2 linked regions of the Nothobranchius furzeri genome follow. Each later gene encodes a partner of the first gene's protein in a complex. Links are inferred from orthologs where the notes say so. Each region holds a gene or a part of one and is shown on either strand. Other genes may lie near its edges. The genes, in order: potassium/sodium hyperpolarization-activated cyclic nucleotide-gated channel 2 and pex5la.

Evidence for each region.
Region 2: the proteins of potassium/sodium hyperpolarization-activated cyclic nucleotide-gated channel 2 (region 1) and pex5la are in contact, whole or in part, in a crystal structure (PDB 4EQF), measured with the Mus musculus proteins. The link is inferred for Nothobranchius furzeri from reciprocal best matches to the Homo sapiens genes HCN2 and PEX5L. Residues at the interface, in NP_032252.1 of Mus musculus: Leu859, Ser860, Ser861, Asn862, Leu863; in NP_001156988.1 of Mus musculus: Glu315, Glu317, Val343, Asn347, His426, Asn453, Arg454, Ala457, Thr458, Ala460, Asn461, Tyr472, Arg484, Tyr487, Asn488, Ile491, Ile494, Ile537.

What each region holds. Positions count from the first base shown.
Region 1 is NC_091751.1:56,767,413-56,776,970, reverse strand, and holds the start of potassium/sodium hyperpolarization-activated cyclic nucleotide-gated channel 2, read right to left. Parts: upstream 9,354-9,558; 5' UTR 9,216-9,353; coding exon 8,074-9,215; intron 6,200-8,073; coding exon 5,776-6,199; intron 4,118-5,775; coding exon 3,956-4,117; intron 1-3,955. UniProt on the Homo sapiens protein: Hyperpolarization-activated ion channel that is permeable to sodium and potassium ions. Displays lower selectivity for K(+) over Na(+) ions. Contributes to the native pacemaker currents in heart (If) and in neurons (Ih).
Region 2 is NC_091748.1:59,195,972-59,205,021, forward strand, and holds the end of pex5la (PEX5-related protein), read left to right. Parts: intron 1-1,367; coding exon 1,368-1,525; intron 1,526-4,534; coding exon 4,535-4,736; 3' UTR 4,737-4,941; downstream 4,942-9,050. UniProt on the Homo sapiens protein: Accessory subunit of hyperpolarization-activated cyclic nucleotide-gated (HCN) channels, regulating their cell-surface expression and cyclic nucleotide dependence.

The sequences.
Region 1 (9,558 bases):
CGCGTCCCTCAGGGGGCCCTGTGGGGGGTACCCCAGGAGTATGGGGTACCAGGCCCTCTGATACGGGCTGTTAGGTCCCTGTATGACCAGTGTCAGAGCTTGGTCCGCATTGCCGGCAGTAAGTCGGACTCGTTCCCAGTGAGAGTTGGACTCCGCCAAGGCTGCCCTTTGTCATCGATTCTGTTCATAACCTTTATGGACAGGATTTCTAGGCACAGCCAAGGTGTGGAGGGCATCCGTTTTGGTGGCCTGAGGATTTTTGCAGATGATGTGGTCCTTTTGGCTTCACCAGAACGTGATCTTCAGCTTTCGCTGGAGCGGTTCGCAGCCGAGTGGGAAGCAGCTGGGATGAGAATCAGCTCCTTTAAATCTGAGACCATGGTCTTGATTTGGAATAGGGTATAATGCCTTCTCCGGGTCAGGGATGAGGTCCTGCCCAAGTGGAGGAGTTTAAGTATCTCGGGTTCTTGTTCACGAGTGAGGGAAAATTGGAGCGTGAGATCGATAAGCGGATTGGTGCTGCATCTGCAGTGATGCGGGCGTTGTACCGGTCTGTCATGGTGAAGGGAGAGCTGAGTCAGAAGGCGAAGCTCTCGATTTACCGGTCGATCTACGTTCCTACCCTCACCTATGGTCATGAGCTTAGGGTAGTGGCCGAAAGAACGAGATCGTGGATACAAGAGGCCGAAATGAGTTTTCTCCGAAGAGTGGTTGGGCTCTCTCTTAGAGATAGGGTGAGAAGCTCGGCCATTCGGGAGGGGCTCGGAGTTGACCTGCTGCTCCTCCATGTCGAGAGGAGCCAGTTGAGGTGGCTCGGGCATCTGGTCAGGATGCCGCCTGGACGCCTCCCTGGTGAGGTTTTCCAGGCACGTCCAACTGGGAGGAGACCTAAAGGGCGATCCAGGACACGGTGAAGGGACTATGTCTCTCACCTGGCCAGGGAACGCCTTGGGATTCCCCCGGAGGAGCTGGCCCAAGTGGCTGGGGAGAGGGAAGTCTGGGCCTCTCGCCTTAGGCTACTGCCCCCGTGACCTGACTCTGGATAAGCGGATGAAAATGAATGAATGAATGAATGAATGAATGAATGAATGAATGAATGAATGAATGAATGGATGGATGGATGGATGGATGGATGGATGGATGGAGTAACCGTGCAGTAAAGTTAAATTAATTTCCACACTTTGATGATTTACATAGCTGATGGATACAAGTATAAAATGCTTCTGTCTGTTTTTGACATAATCAATTCAGAGCTGATTACATATCACATAACTTTTATTCTTCATGCACACAAATTGATATAATGTTGAAAAACTAAAGTGTTTAATCCATTCTGGTTCACCATTGCCGGGTGTGTCTTGCTCTTCAAATAAGCTGCAAGTCGATGATTGGTCAGATGGGTCGTATGTTGCATAAAAATGTAATAAAAATGTCCGTACATGGCAAGTAGGACACTTTGTGGTTCTGTACAGCCATAACATCAAGAGTCAGAAGCCTCATCCAGAAAAACTTCAAATCTGAGTTTTACGACGAGTCGTGCTGAACCCAGACAACGTCTGTGAGCAGGACTCAATCTGTTTAAAACCAATTTGGACTTGTGCCTCGTGTCTGGGTTGGTGTGGTCTTCCCCTGCTCAGCAAAAGGCTTGGCTGAAAGACAGACCTATGAACAACCAGCTTTTATCTCTATGAGAGAGACATGGCAACAAAGAGCCCAGCTGCCTGGCCATATTCCCCCTCATCCCTCTGCTTTCCCCTTTTATCTTTCCTGTCATCGCCCCACGGCACTGGTGGGGAGGCATGGGGGGATCAGGAGGTGTGTTTAAATCTCTGGCTTCTTTTCCACTGCATCTTCACCGATAACCTGCGGATGTTTCCTCTGTCTGTCACAAAGACTGATCGGTGCTGCACAAGATGGAGATATGAGTGACTTTCTTGATCTGTCTGAGAGAATTTTTTGCTTTTCTCCTTGAATGAGAGATAAAATATTTGCAGCGAATGTCACCTAGATGTGTTTCTGAGCACTAGAGCGCTGTATAGAGCTACCTAACTTTGCATAAATATTCTCAAAATGATGAGCCAACAGCGCAAATTATCAACTTTGAGGTCACCGAAAGACTTAACATACAAATTTGGTAAAATATTTGTATAAATGTTCCGTCAGACCTTCAGTGAACACAAGATCTACAGCAGAACTTGTTGCTATGAGCTGCTAATCTCAAGCAGAGCTAACAAAACTGATATTTTACATCATGTAGCATCTGCTGATGTGATGAAGGGCCATAGAAATGTCATTTCCACAATTTCCATAAATTTAAAATCAAGAAAATGAATTTATTTGAAGCCTTTTCTTCTTTACTAAAGCACAGATATCCCTACAGTAGCAACAGACAATAAAGACTTTGATGATCACTGATTACTAATCAGCCTTTAGCCAACTTTTACTGATGCTTTTCTCACTGTCAATGCTAAATAAAAGTACAAATCCAGCTGTGGGGCAAAAAAAACATGACTGAATCTGTAGATTCTTCCTCACAAGAGAATTAGCATCCATTAATGCTCTGCAGCATGTGTAAAAATACAGTTCAGGCAGATTTAATGCTTAAGTTCTGTCAAGAAGGCGTAAAAAAGGTCTGATTGTCTTTAAATTACTGAATTAATTATTGGGTGTGTGGGGGACTAAAAATCTTTCTTTGGAGATTATATCAATTAAGAAATGTCAGAAACAATGCGGTATACATGAGGAAAATTCGAAGAAATAGAAGAAATGTTTCCTCTGATGAGAATGTCAGTGCATGATCCGATTTGTGAGCAAGAACAGATGCATTTCACAACTTTTCATTACTAAGATGACTGCACATTGAGAGATCAGTGATGCAGAGGCAAGTAGCACTCATCTATAGAGACAGTATGAAGTGACAGAATCAGAAGAACCATCCCAGCTCTAATTCACAGCAAGAGAATGAGCGCATGCACGGCAAACACACTCTCATTAGGGTAAAGTATGCTTCTTTCCTTCAGTGATTTGGAAAATCATTCCCAGTATGCCATTATTAATGACTTCCAATCAATATGAGCTTATAGAGAGGAAATATAAGTACACTCTAATGTTCTTTGTCAGGGATGTGGAACCTGAGATTTCTCATTTACTAGCTTCAGTTGTTCAGGTTCTTGCACAACTGCTTGGAGGCACTTAAACTTAATAAAACAATGCATGTGAGGAGATGGTGCAGGACCGAGAAACTGGATTTTATAGTGAGTGAATCCAATAGTTCTCTGATACTATAAAATGCATTTTCCTGGAAATAATGTATCCAGTTGTTCTGGACGGGAGGATAACTACAAATCAGTCATAATGTTCTCAGTCATCATTTTAAAGAACAAATCAGTTTTGGCTTGCTTTTAGCACCCCCTAGTGTATGTTTGTAGAACCAAAAGCTAAACTTTTTTCCTCGTTGTGTGTTTGTCTTTTTAACACCTTAATGTAACCGCTGAAACGTCTCCCCAGTGTCTACAGGAGTGATTCATCACTAAATTAAACAAATCAGCTGTGTTCAATATCTAAAACTTGCAGGAAATGGGCTGGAACCAGACTGCAGCACCAGGTATGTCAGCTCATTTTTTTTAAAGTCCTAACAATGCCGCCTGCCAGTCTGAAGATGCAAGTGGAATATTCCGGCCACGGGGGGACAATAGGAACTGGGTGGCCTTTCATTAACACTGTTAAGGGTCATTTTTGCACATACTGGCTCAAGAAGATTATTTAAAAATGTGAAAAAGTTGCAAAGGTGTCCCACCATCTGTTTGGAGAATCATTTTTCTTTAATCATGTTGCTTTAAATGTAATCTGGTTAACCCTCAGCATTTGTTCTCACATAAAGATGATTTATGTAACTGGTTTATTTTGATCGTAATCGCCCCGTTAGTTAAAGCTAACCAGATTCCCTCATGCATACCTCCATCTTGTTGAGGGACACCCAGCAGTCTGATGGGAAGTCCTGCAGCATGGGAACCAGGAACTGTAGGCAGCCATCCCAGTGACACAGCAGCAGCATCATACCGATCAGGTTGATAATCCGCATCACCGCGCTGGCCAGGTCATAGGTCATGTGGAAGATCTGGATATTGACAGTGAAAAAGGAAGAAGTGTTAAGAATGATCTGACACGAGATGAGATGAGATCCTTGGGTTTCTGACATGGCAGGTAAATGGCGACAGTCCTGAACCAACATCAACAGGAGCAGGTGATACAGTTTTCACACAGAGATGTGTGACATCAGGCGGAGTTTTATACACGCACAGCCACATACATGTGTTACTCTCACGCAAGCCTGCGGGCACAAGGATACACCGACAGACATGTCATCACATCACACACATGGACATATTCACATGGACAGAGTGATGGACAGCAACCATCATGATCCTGAACAGCTGATAGTCCATGTTGTCTCACACATCAATCATGCTCACTCACTCAGTCCAATCATCAAACCTCAAGAAACCTCATCATGATGCTGCTTAGCAACCTAAAGGTTGAAAAAGTAATCCTCAGCCAGAAAAAATGTGTGGAAACGACATATAAACGTGCAGAACTGTCTGATGAAGTCCCCACTGAAGGAGGTGGGTCATTTCAGTGCAGCAAAGAGAGAGGTGATACTTGGTGACGCGAGTGATGAGGAATAGGACCTGACATGAATCACACGTGATGAACTTTCTAAATGCAGTTTTAACCTTTTTGATGTTTTCACTGTCACTTCCATCAGGCCAGAAACCAAGGAAAAGGGGAATGTGATCCTACTTTTACCAACAAGGAGGGATCCTCTGTTGCTGTCTCTGGCCGCTGGAGATTTTCAGCACCATGGACAGCTCTACAAACCCACCATGCAGTTTCAAGCTCAGAATCTTGGGTTTTCCAAACAAAACTCAACAGATAACTTAAAAACAACCAACATTTCTAGTGGATATTTTCTGTATGGGCCTGAGCTGTTACCATACACGTCATCATCCCTCATTCTCCATGCCTGTCAAGTATCACTTCCCATCATGCATCACTGAGTGTGTATGTGTGCATATCACATCATATCTTCAGAAATCAAATTATCCAAAGGTCAAGTGAGTAGCCAAGCTCCAATGAGCTGTTCACCACAGCAAAATGCCAACACCAGGCCGCTAACACTGGCAAGAATGAAAAGTCGAGTGATCTCATGACATCACTGGAGGTCTTTTGTCCTGAGCTGATCTCTTATCCCTCACACTGCTACAACAACCAAAGTGGCAGTGAAAGAAAGAGTCTTCCCAGCAACTAAACAGGACACAGTAAATGTATTTATTTAACTTTATTTCATGTAATTAGTGACATAACTAATGATAGACACTGCTCGCCCTCAGTGGTGATTGTTACTATCATCTTCCACCTCACCTGCTCCTTCTCTGGTGCCTTAATTGATTAACCATGTTTGTTCTGATAATAGTCTGCTTATTAGGCTGCCTGGTGCCACCTGTGGGACTGCTGGGTCAGACGGTGAGGCGGCAGAGTGGAGGGGAGCTCCAGTGACAGTGGGAGCAACAAAATGCAAGGTTTGTTCATGCTCAAATGTCTTACTAACATCAAATGTGTTTGTTTTTCTCCAGGTGGCAGGTGACAGCATCAATAAATCAGAAGAGCAGGCCACTTGGAGCAGAAAGAGGCAGACTGTTTATTTGGTCACGAGCCAACACCACCATTGGTGTTTCGGAGGATTTTACTAGTAAATATAACTACATGAGCTCTTACCTCTTCCCACTGGTGAATGTAACGTATTAATCTGGAGAGCCTCAACAGCCTCAGAAGACTTAGGATCTTGGTAAAGCGAACAATCCTCAGGGCCCGGGCGGTCTTGTACACCTCTGAGTCAATCCCTTTCTCCACTATAAGGAATATATAATCCACTGGGATGGAGGAGATAAAGTCTACAATAAACCAAGTTTTTAAGTATGTCTTTTTTATGGTTTCAGGGTCCAAAATAATGTCCGAGTTGTCCTCAATGATGATTCCAGTGCGAAAGTTGAGCACCAGGTCCATGAGGAAGAAGGTGTCGGAGACTACATTGAAGATGATCCAGGGCGTGGTGGTCTCTTCCTTGAAGAAGGTGATGCCCACGGGAATGATGATCAGGTTGCCCACCATGAACAGCAACATTGAAAAATCCCAGTAGAACCTGGCAGATGTGTGTGTGTGTTTAATGGGAAAGGGCAGGAGAAAGAAAACAAGACAAAAATAGTCAGATAAGAAAGAGGCGCTGCGGTGGAAAGCCTATAGAAACAAGAGGATCCTTAATTGGAGATGGAGGAAATGTGGAACTGAGCTTTTCATGCCTGAACATGCAGAGAATAATGAAAAAATGGTTTTCTGTTACAGATCAGCACATATTGTAATATATGTTATGTTATGTTAAAATGCAGCATAATTACATGTATTATGTATAAATTTTTCCAAATCTATAACGAAAAATATTTACTTTTTTACTTAGTCTTTGGAATATTAGATAATCAAACACAGAGCCTTAAAGTGTCTGTAAGATGATGATCGTAAATAAAATATTTGTTTTCTTGTGGTATTTTTATTGTAATAAGTGAATTTAGCCCAAATAATGAGGGATTTTGTGACTTGAATGTTTTAGGCTCAAACCGGGTCGTTAATGTTTTAAGTTGAACTGAAAATAGTGATTTTCGACATGAATGGTGTTTAGGTTGTCCAACAGAGGTGACAGGTGAGATCATGGTTGTTTCAGCCCGACAGAGGAAGCTCTGCGGGACAGGTGCAGTGCTGAGTCATTACGCTGCGACTTATGCAACAAGCTCTGATAATTCTACCTAAATCGCCGCTGATGATAATGTTTGATGCAACTTTGCTGCCGTGAGGGAGCAGCTTAAGAATAAGGAACAGAAGCCGGGGAGCAAAAAAACTCCTCTCATGTTGAAAGTAGGAGAGCGTCTATTAAGTAGCTTGTCGTCACGTTTTATCTTGAACATTGTCTTAAGTTGAGCTTTACTGACTCGCGGCGTTATGGGAAAACAAATGGGTCAAACATGAATGACTCGCGGGGGTGGGGGTAGAAGAGCGCTCCACACGCGCGACGCGACTCCAAATGAGAGGGGAGCTGTCCACTCCCTGTGGTGCTGAAAGCAACCGACCCAGCCCAGAATAAAACCTGTTGGTTTGCGCAACTAAAACGCAACTCCAACAACCAATACTTGCTCACAGAGACGCGTTAGTCACGTAGAGCCTTTTCGGCTCGTGGATTCCCCCTAAAGTTAAAGTCCCATTAGTTGTCACGCACACTGATATGTGTGCGAAATTTGTTCTCCGCATTTGACCCATCCCCTGGGGGGAGCGGTGAGCTGCAGACACAGCCACGCTCGGAGACCATTTGGTGGTTTAAATGCTTGAAAGACATAGCTGCTGGATGCTGAGCCACGTCACAAACACGGCGAATCCGTCGAGTAACGACATGATCCGGAGAATCTTGGCGGATCTGTCTCCAGTGAGCACGCTGGAGGTATTCGCACACTTTGCTCAAGGTGACATTCCATTACTGAGTGCATCGTACGCACACGCGCACGCGCTCATTGCCTCCATCCTGTCTGCACGGCTCTTGACGCAGAGTAGACAGCGCCACGTTTATTAGCCAGATCTTTAAAATAATAGCTGGACCATGAATGCCATCGTCTCTGTGCTCTCTGATAAATGTGAGCGTCATGCGTCGAAGAGCTGGAATAGCAGGCCTGGCTTGCTGAGAGCCCCAGACATGCTATTCTTCCGAGTGGAGCCGGATTTGTTTACAACCTTGAGAGGACACTCTTTGCTAAGTCCATTTGCCTGACAACAGGTTGTTTTTGGGAGGCGGTGTGCTGACAGCAGCCCATTAGACTGGAGCAGTACATCCTTTATGGGTTCATTAGTACGGGAGGAATGATAAATCAGGTGTAGCTCTAAAATGCGTTTGTTTCCTGTGCTTCATTACTCTGTAAAGTAAGTTATAGATGACGATAAGGACCCTTACGGGCCTCTCCTGGCAGCTCCATCTCTTACCTGAAATCGCTGTAAGGGTGGATAATCCAGTTTCCGGCTGATTTTACCCTCTCCTGCTCCTTTTCTACAGCTTTCTGACTACCATACATGCGTAAGGAAAATTTGTTAACTCCAGGCTGCAGCATACTACTAAACTGCCGCTGCATGAAGCTGGCTTGGCTGCCTCGAGGTTCTGCATCCTCGGCTGGCACAATTGGCGGTCCATCCTCCGGTTTCTGGAAAGTTACAGAGTTCCTTGGCTGTTGGGTCTGAGTCTGAGTCTGGCCGTGCAGCGAGGAAGATGCTTTTCGACTTGGTGCGTTAGAGAAGGACACCTTGGAGTCCTTTTTCTCAGGGGCACCGCTGGACACGGAGGTGGTCCCGGGGTTTGTGTTCTCCCCTCCTTGCCCTCCGGTTAGAGACCGGCCTGGTGTGATCGAACCGTCCATAGCGGTGGTCGAGTTACAGGCTCCTCGTTTGGCACCCCCTCCTTCCTCGGTTCTCCCCGACCCCGCTGGTTGCTTCTCCTGCTTGGAGATTATTGAGCGCAGGCTCCCGGTCCCCGAGTCCCTTCTGCATTCTCCGTTTTTGTTGCATTTCATGCTGGAAATGGGAGCGACGCCCCTGCAACCATCACTCGTTGTCGCGTTTAAAGCCTCTAACGTGGCAGTAGATCCCGACACCTCCGCCCCAGACGCTCGGTTGATCTCGCCGCGTCGGGCAGCATTGCCCGGACAGGGTGTCTCGGTGGCTCTGGAGGCAGCAGTGGGCCGTGAGGCGGCAGGAACGTCCTCTGTGTGCGTAAGGCTGGGCTCCTTGTTTGAGTTTCTCCTGGAAGCCGAGGACGCGGCTCCCCCTCCTGGCGTAAAGTTCTTCATCCTGATACTGCCTCCGCCTCCTTCTCCTCCACCTCCGCTGCTGCCGCTCCCCCCGGCTCGGCGCAAACGCGGATGCTGGAACTTGGACTCTTCTTCTCCTTCCTCCATCTCGTCCATCATGACGCTGCTGCTCACACCGGGCTGCTCGCCGCTTGGCGCACCGGGTGAACCACCAGGCTCCGCGCAGTTCTGTCCGCTGTTGCCTCTCGAGCATTTGGATGCGACAGTCTCCTTGGGTGCGCTGATGTGGCTGCACCCGCTGCCGCCGACCGCCTTCTTTTTCATGGTAGCAGCAGACACCTGTGAGACCTCATTCCTGTCCTTGACACACCGGATTTTGTCTCCAATTATCTTTAAGAAGGCCAATCAGAAAGAGGGGGGCGGAGAAGGGCCAGAGGAAGAGAGGGAGGAGTGGACGTGACTTTTTTGCAAACTAATGCTGTAATAATCTCAACATTATCAAATTGATGAAACCCAATTTTCTCTCTCAAATAAATTATCTCAACTTTTTAAAATGATTTTTTTCAATCGTGGTTTAATTTAAAAAATGCATAAAACGCAAGCAGGAGTGACGCATCTCGGCAGATCAAAAGTTTAATTGCCACGTGCTAATGAACATTCAAATGAT
Region 2 (9,050 bases), on another chromosome or scaffold:
GTCCTTGATCAATACAACTCACATGTTATGATTTTTTTCTTAAGTTAATATAGTTCTATGGTCAAAAAAACATGTTCTTTGTGTAAAATCTCTCACATAAAGTGAAATCAGCAGTTTTATTCTTGACAGTATCAGTACCTTCCTGAATTATTCAGGCCTCTGTCACTTTAAGAAAACAAGCTAGAGCTGGCCACGCCCACCCATCCCCCACTCAAGCTGCTATAAGCTGAGAAGATCCGATATCCGGGAGGGGCCTGGAGTAGAGTGGCTGTTCCTCCAACAGCAGCCCTCTCTTGCAAGTGTGAGGTTGTTCTATCCGAATTTTTCATTTTGTGGCATCACAAATGGGGACTTTTTGAAATAACTTGTTTTAGGTGCATTATTCCTAAAAACAGTTATAACCCAAAAATCAATTGACAAGTTGGCTTTTTATGTGGATTGTTTAAAGAGGCAGTAAAAAACCACATTTTGGATAAGTGTTGAAATGAAAACTGAAGCTACAAATATGAATTTTCTTTGTGTGGCTCAGGAAAATCTAAATTATTGTCCAAACATTATATGAGGGCTTGACTATTTGGTCCAAATCTATGAGATCTTCACCAGTTTAGAGAAGTTATCCAATTCAGGGTTAAATTTACTTTGGACCTGTGAACAACAACAGTAAAGTATAGTGTACGTGAATGATGACACAAACATATAACAATACATAAAAATAAGACAAGATGTTCGCAGCAGCAAACTTTTTATTCCATCGCCCTCTTGTGAATCAGTGAACGTCCTCCCTTTGCTGTCCCAGGATGATGTGAATACGACTCAATGTTAAATCTAATCCCCCACATTTGACTTGATAATATCTGCTCCCCTACTGGAATAAAAACTGTTCCGAAAACAAAAGGGGGATAATTATATCCTGCTGCTGGGCTAAACCACGGATGAAGGACTGCAGAAGCCACTGACCTATGTTCGTGCCCGTCTGCCCGCAGGTGGGGAACAACAAGGATAACCAGTGTGATGTAACTCCTATTATATCACCATGTTGTGTTCTTGCCATTGATCCAGATTCAAATGTGTTTACTTATTCATATATTGAATTATGTAATTCTTCTTATCTTTGAACTGTTTTGTATCTGAAAGCTGCAGAGGGCCTGAAACTGTTTGTATTTTGACTTTTAAAAAGTAAGATTTACTCTTTCTGATCCATCGATCGGTCCGGACACACAGCTGATCTCTGAGCCGTTTAAAAATGGAAAGCCTTTTAAATGATCTGTTACATTTTTTTAACATCTAATTTTTAAAGTAGATTCACTGAAAGACATCCACTCGACACTGAACTAGTTAACCCAAGGCTTTACTCCTCCTCCATCCAGGACTACTTGTTGTGGAATCGACTGGGAGCCACGCTGGCTAATGGGGACCGGAGTGAAGAGGCGGTGGAGGCTTACACGAGGGCCCTGGAGCTGCATCCAGGGTTTATCCGGTCGCGCTACAACCTGGGCATCAGCTGCATTAATCTGGGGGCACACAGGTGAGTGACCTGCAGCAATACAAGGACAGTCCTGGCTTGATTTGCATGTTTCTCATTTTTAGTCCTGAGCAAAATCAAAATTATTTATTTGCTTTTATTTAATGATTTTAATTTTCAGGACATAAAAAATAGAAAAGCTCAATGTTAGTGGTGAGCAGAGTGAACCAATTCAAATTAAAAGTTTATGAAATTCCTAATTTTCCCAAGGGATTCAAATATGCTGTGCTTAAGTTGAATGAAGCTTTTTGGAATGGGTTTTTTTTCTATCCTATGTGAATGCATACATGTAAAAAGACAAACAATAACAAAGGAGGAGAAAATGCAAAAGAGAAATAATAGAAAAAATATGTCTAAAATTAGAATAATACAAGTATTAACTGATTCAAACACGTTTAGCCTTACTGGTGGTATTCTGCCCTTTGTTATTTAACCATAACCAGTTTACTTTAAAAATGCAGAGTTATTTCAGACTCTTTTAGCTCCATCTAGCACTGCTAATGTTGTCTGTGATGTTTTGCATTAATCGAATGCAACAACCTGAAAAAAAACTGGCGTCTTCATTTGCATAATGAGAATGGAATGCGTTTAACATAATAAAAATGTTGTGACAGGAACATTAAATAAGAATTGGAATGTTTATATTTTATAAAATAAAATGGAAATCAAAAGTCACAAAATGCACAGGAAAATTATGTGAAACTGTAAAAAAAATGTTTTCTAAAACACCAATAACCCAATGGAAATAACTTTTAGGTGGAAAAGGAAAGAAAAAGGAAAACAACAATTTTTGCATGTTGCCATATTTATTGAACCATTCATAGCATTTTACTTTTTTGGTTCTGTAATAAAATTGTGTTTAGTCTTAGGTTATAGATCAACAATTTCAAAATAAAACTAATTAAAATTCTATTCATAGTTTGTGTGTACATGAGGAAGAAACACTTAAAATATGGGACAAAACTAAGAATTGAATATTTTCCTTTGGTTACACACAGGTAAAACTCAAAAGACTAGAATATGGTGCAAAAGTAAATGTTTTCAGTAATTCAACTTAAAAGGTGAAAGTAATTTAATGAGACAGACTCCTTATATGCAAAGCCAGATGTTTCAAGCCTTTATTTGTTACAATTGTGATGGCTTACAGCTTATGAAAACCCCACATTCAAAATCTCAGACATTTAGAATAATGTGAAAAGGTTCAATATTCTAGACCCAGAGTGTCCCACTCTAATCAGATAACCTTGCAAACAGTCAACATTGCATGGACATGCAGATCATGTCTATATTGAGTCTATCAGTCCAGACCACGTCTGTAGGACGTCCACTCTGAGTCTTTGCACAGTGGGAATGAATCCAAACACCTAAAAAGGTTGCCATCTTACTATGGTGGAGGGGTTTGAGTGCCCCAATGATCCTACAAGCTAAGTTGTCAGAGGCTTTATGCCTCTGATAGGGTCACCCATGGCAAACAGGTTCTGGAAGAAACAGGTGAGGGATCCAAGGTGCAACCCAAAGACCCATTATGAAGAAACAGTGTTCCCTTGCCTGGATGCAGGTCACCAAGGCCCCCCCCCCCCCCCCCCCCCCCCCCCCCCCCGCTGGAGCCAGACCTGGATGTGAGGTACATTGGCGAGTACCTGGTAGCCAATGGAGCCTGGCCGGAGGAAGAGTTTAAGTATATTGGGGTCTTGTTTACGAGTGAGGGAAAGATGGAGCTAAAGATCGATAGGCGGATTGGTGCTGTGTCTGGAGTGATGCAGGTGTTGTTCCGGCCTGTCGTGGTGAGGAGAGAGCTGAGCCGAAGGCGATGCTCTCGATTTATCAGTTGATCTACATTTCAATCTCATCAATGGTTACGAGCTTTGGGTAATGACCAAAAGAATGAGATAACTGATGCAAGCAGCCGAAATGAGTTTTCTCCACAAGCTGGCTGGGCTCCCCCTTAGAGATAGGGTGAAAAGCTTGGTCATCCGAGAGGGGCTAGAGTAGACCAGCTGTTCCTCCACATCAAGAGGAGTCAGTTGAGGTGGCTTGGGCATCTGGTTAGGATGCCTCCTGGACATCTCCCTGGCGATGTTTTCCAGGCACGTCCAACCAGGAGAAGACCTAAAGGAAGGCCCAGGACACACTGGAGGGACTTTGTCTCTCCCTTAGGATTCCCCCAGAGGAGCTGACCCAAGTGGCTGAGGAGAAGGAGGTCTGGGCCTCTCTGCTTAGGCTGCTGCCCCGTCAACCCGACCCCGGATAAGCGGCTCAAAATGGATGGATGAACATGCAAAGGGTTCCTGAGCCTTTAAGTGGTTTCTCAGTCTAAGTTGGATTACTGAAATAAATGAACTTTTGCACCATAATCTAATACAGAGACGAATCAGAGCTCATGGTGAAACTTGCAACCCTAAAATCCACAAGTTGTTAAACTGCCATCGTTGCTGCGATCAACTGGAAGTTCAGATGCTAATTATCACAAAAAATAGTCTATGGAACAAATACAGTCTCACCAGTCACCAGAATATGACTTTTTTAGACATTGAATTCATGACATTGAACTTTTATATTGTGAAATTATGTATTTGGTTGGTTTGTTTGTTTTTTCACTTAACATACACCAGCAAAAGTTTCAAAAGCAAAAATTCAACAACAACTGAGGTGACTTCCTGGTGACCCAAGCCAAAGTAATCATCAATCAAGCGACTCAAGTGACTCTTAACCAATCAAATCACGCTTCTCTGATCCTGTGACACCAGTGAGTCGCTGACTCGATTGAGTGACGATTGCTTTGGTTTTGGTCAGGAGAGGTCATCTCGTTTGTTGTTGAATTTCTGCTGTTGAATTTTGACATTGAAATTTTTGTTGGTGCACTTTGTTAAATTAATTTCACAGAATAAAAATTCCATCTATCCATCCATCCGTAAGTCACATTGTAGTGAGACTGTTTTTCTTCCATAGAAATCTGTTCACTCACTCATTTGTCCTTTGATAAAAATTGATTTGTTGCTTTTGTGTCCCCAGAGAAGCAGCCAGCAACTTCCTGACTGCTTTAAGTCTACAGAGAAAAAGCCGAAGTCGACAGCAGTCTCACGAGGTGATGTCTGGAAACATCTGGGCAGCTCTGAGGATAGCGTTGTCCATGATGGACCAGCCTGAACTCTTCCAGGCAGCAAACATCGGTGACCTGGATCTCCTCATGCGGGCTTTTAACTTAGACTTTTGAGGGTAAAAACAAGAAGTGATGAATCTCCCTCATCATTCCTTCTCTGCTCTCTAACCAGAAGCCAAAAACCCAAAGCGCACATTTCTGAGTTAGCCTAAGAGGAAGGTGCGTTTAGTTTGCACACTAGAATGATGGTCAAACCCCGTGATTGCTTTTATTATTTTTTATTTTTGTGCCCTGATTCTTCGGAGAGGTTCTGAGGCTGGTTCTTCCAAAGGGTTTGGACGAACTGCTTTGTGATGGAATTTGCGCTGCAATTTGTGATTTCCCTAAAGAGCACAAGGACGGGCAAAGATTGTACGAGCAATGCCTTAGAGAACGCATCAATTAAAAACTGACTCATCCAGTGGAACTGAGGGGGGCAGGAGTGACAGCCACTTTTAAGACTCCCACAGAGGACCCCCCCACCCCCACCCCCACACCCCACGCCAAGCCATTTGCAGCTAAAAGACAAGGCTTCGAGAGGAAAACTGTTGACTCAGGATTGTTCAGAGAGCAAATGTTACAGGCAGCCTGCCTCACATAAGCAGGAGCTCCAGACTGTCTTCCTGGCTTCTGCTCTGTCAGTGGAGAGTTATCTAACTGCATAAATAAGCAATTTCAAAGGTGGATATTTGTCTAAATCCTACACGCTTGTAGAAGATTCTCCCTTTGCACTTAGCTTCAGTTAATTTCCTGAGTCCAAGTGGAATGTGCAACCCTTACCCAAGCCTTACTCAGACGCATGCATCCACTTACATTTATTTACTAAAAGACAACAACTTTTCATTTTTTCTTTACTTATCAGTTTTTGTCTCAGCTCCTGCAGTCTTGTTGTTCCCTTTAAGCTGATTGGCTGGAGAAATGCATCCAATTCCGATGAGATCAAGTGATCTGTAATCATTTTTAAATTTCTCATCAGCTTCAGTTATTGCATGTTTTCTTCAGAGGCCACAAAAGCTCATACACACGTCATATTCTTATTTTCATTTCTGCAGAGGATATTTGCTTTATTACAACTCATTATGTCCCATGGAAATGTTTGTATTTTCAAGACTTGAGACTGCAGCTTGATGAATTTCCGAATGCGCTCATCTATATCCAAGCTGCAGAAGCTGCAAAACTCATACTTGTAATTAAATCACTCCTTCTTAGCCATCATGCATGATTTAAATATTTACATACGCTGCTCAGAGTGTTGCATCTTATTTGTTTTGCTACATTAATATGCATCCATTTAAAAATAACTTAATTTATAATAAAAATCTTCTCAAGATTAATTTTCTGCAACTCTTCAGAAGCGTTTTGTACAAACACGCCTTGCAAGTTGCGCTGACAGCTTCCTTTGAGTTCTAGTCTGAAAGTCATTTTGTAAACTGAACATTATGCCACTTGCCACGCAACAGAGTCAATGATAGATTATCTGCTGTAGCGCTCAGCTCTGCACTCTCTAGTGTTTATCAAGCGTGTCCACAGTCTGGGTGTGCTGCAGAAAGTGTCTTATTGTTGTCGGCTCCTATGCAAAAAGGTCATCTTTCATGTTGCTGCTCTGAATTGTCGGTTGGTCCCCGTCTGCCTCGGCAGACCAAAGGGAAGTGTTGATTCTGTGTTTTAAAAGAATACTATCGGGGATGACCAGAGACCAGCACCAGAACCATTCATCTTCCAAGCAGCACAGCTGGGATGTCACACTCTGTCAGAAGGAAGGTTTTATCAAGGGACTGGTGGGGAAAACGAACGCCATCCAGCTTTTGAATTTTTGTAATTCTCTGCCATAGAAATGTCTTTGGCTGTAGGTGGAGACTTAAAAGTCACAGCTGTACACCATTGCTCGCGCTGGAAACGTTCTCATGGATGCTAACTCTGCCCCTGGAGAAGAAGGAAACTCCACCACTGTAGCTGTTGTCCCAAAAATCTAAACAACACTAAAAGTAAGATTATGCTGCGAACTGAGAGTGATGTGCATTTACTGGAGCATGGGATTGGAACAGAATAGCATTTAAACATTTTCAAAATTTGTAAGTAATTTTCAGTCACGCTGATGGAATGGCCTTAGTTTGGGAGTTTCCAGGTTCCACGTAGATCAACGCCCCTTTAAAGTTTAGGTTGTTGGGTCTTCTTTGTCTGAAATGACTTGTTTTGAATTGAAACTGCAGTTTTTATAGTGAATATGGAGACAAGTCACTTCTGGTGCAAGAACAATGTCATATAGAGTTACAACCTGTTTTTTACTCCTTCAGCTGAAGACGTTCCTATGAATAAGAAGCTTTGGCCATGTGGAATGTTAGGGTTCATTTAGATTTGCTCTTACTAGGGAGGACTTAAAGAGGCAGGAGCAGAAATAAAGCGCATGTGCAGTAAATGGTGAACAGGTAGTGTTTTACCTGCAGAAGGCAGCAATCAGAGATTTTAATTCAGTGTTTGAGTGGGGTTGCATGGTGTTCATGACATATTACCACACTGATGAACTGAATAGATGGTAAACTAGTTCACACCTTGATGATTTTGCACAAGACAGTTCTTTAATGTAACTATTTTTTAAACCAAACATTTTTTTATTCCATCCCAAAATAACAACTACATACTGCTTATTTGAGTAAATTTATTGCACAAGTGGAAACATGAACAAAGTGCCTTTTTCTGCAGAAATCAGAGGATATTTGCATGAGTCGTATGTTATAAAATGTAAATGGCTGGAAATTAAACAAACTTGATGGGCTAAATTAATTACTCTGTAAATTGTCTTCATGCAATTAGTAGAACAACACAAATGAACAGATGCAAAAAATAGTGACGATTGAAACTGTCTCGTGCAAAAGAGAAGTGCAAAAATCTGAACATTTGGTAAAACTGCTGAGAAGGTTTGAAGTTGGTTTAAAAGGATGATTCTGATTTCTGATAGTGCAAACTTCTGCCTGATTCTCCAAAGTGATATTTCTCTGATCGCATTCTACTGCAGATTTAATGCTGACTATGTACTCCAAACTACCTTTCATCCATCCATCCATCCATCCATCCATTTTCATGTGGTTATCCGGGGTCGGGTTGCAAGGACAGCAGCTTAAGCAGAGAAGCCCATGGCTTCCCTCTCCCCAGCCACTTGGCCCAGCTCCTCCGGGGGAATCCTAAGGTGTTCCCTGGCCAGGTGAGACATAGTCCCTCCATCGACTGGTAATACGAGAGCTCCAGACGAGTACAACGCCCGCATCACTGCAGATGCAGCACCAATCCGCCTCTGAATCTCACTCTCCAGCTTTCCCTCACTCGTGAGCAAGACCCCAATACTTAAAACTCCTCCACTTAAGACAGGACCTCATCCCTGAAGGCATTCTACCCTTTTTCGACTCAAGACCATGGTCTTGGATATAGAGGAGCTGATTCTCATCCCAGCTGCTTCACACTCGGCTGTGAACCGCTCCAGAGAAAGCTGGAGATCACGTTCTGATGAAGCCAGCAGGACCACATCATCTGCAAAAAGCAGAGACCTGATCCTCAGGCCACCAAATCAGATCCCTTCAACACCTTGGCTGCACCTAGAAATTCTGTCGGTAAAAGTTATGAACAGAATCTGTGACCAAGGGCAGCCATCTCTCACCAGAAACGAGCCCAACTTATTGCTGGTAATGCGTACCAAGCTCTGACACCGGTCATGCAGGGACCTAAAAGCCCGTATCAGAGGGCCTGGTCCCACATATGCCCGAAGTACCCCCACAGGCCCCCCAGAGGGACCCGGTCCAACACATTCTCCAGATCCACAAAATACAAAACACTCCCATGCACCCTCCAGGATCCCCTTAAGGGTATAGAGCTGGTCCAGTGTTTCCCACTGCCTGATCCTTCAAATTCCAACCCCCAAAAATAATCTGTGTCCAGGTTTTCTCGAACTCCTCATCTCATGAACATGTAAAGTGGGGTGAATTTTACTGTTTGTTACTAGAACATCATTAGCTCCTTTAGATTCTTTTGGGTCAACAATTATCCTTCTAAAACAATATTTACAACAATGAACTTGAATCAGTCAAAAATATGTTATTGAGCCTGGTGTCCACCATTAACGTGCTCGTTCTCCAAATATTAGGAAAGTTGAGCTAACTCAAGTATTTTTATGTTTTGCACTGAAAGTGTCAACAGAACTGTAGGAAACATGATGTCTGGGGATTTTCTGATTTCCTATCAGCTCTAGATTTTGTATCTGCCTGTAGGCCTTTGCCTTTTTTGCACCTCGTCACTCTGTATAAAAGAAAACAAAAGAAAATATCAAACCTGAACTAAATCTCAACTTTGGATCATTATAAATGATGCAGGGAAATGACTATATTACTTATTTAGATCTAA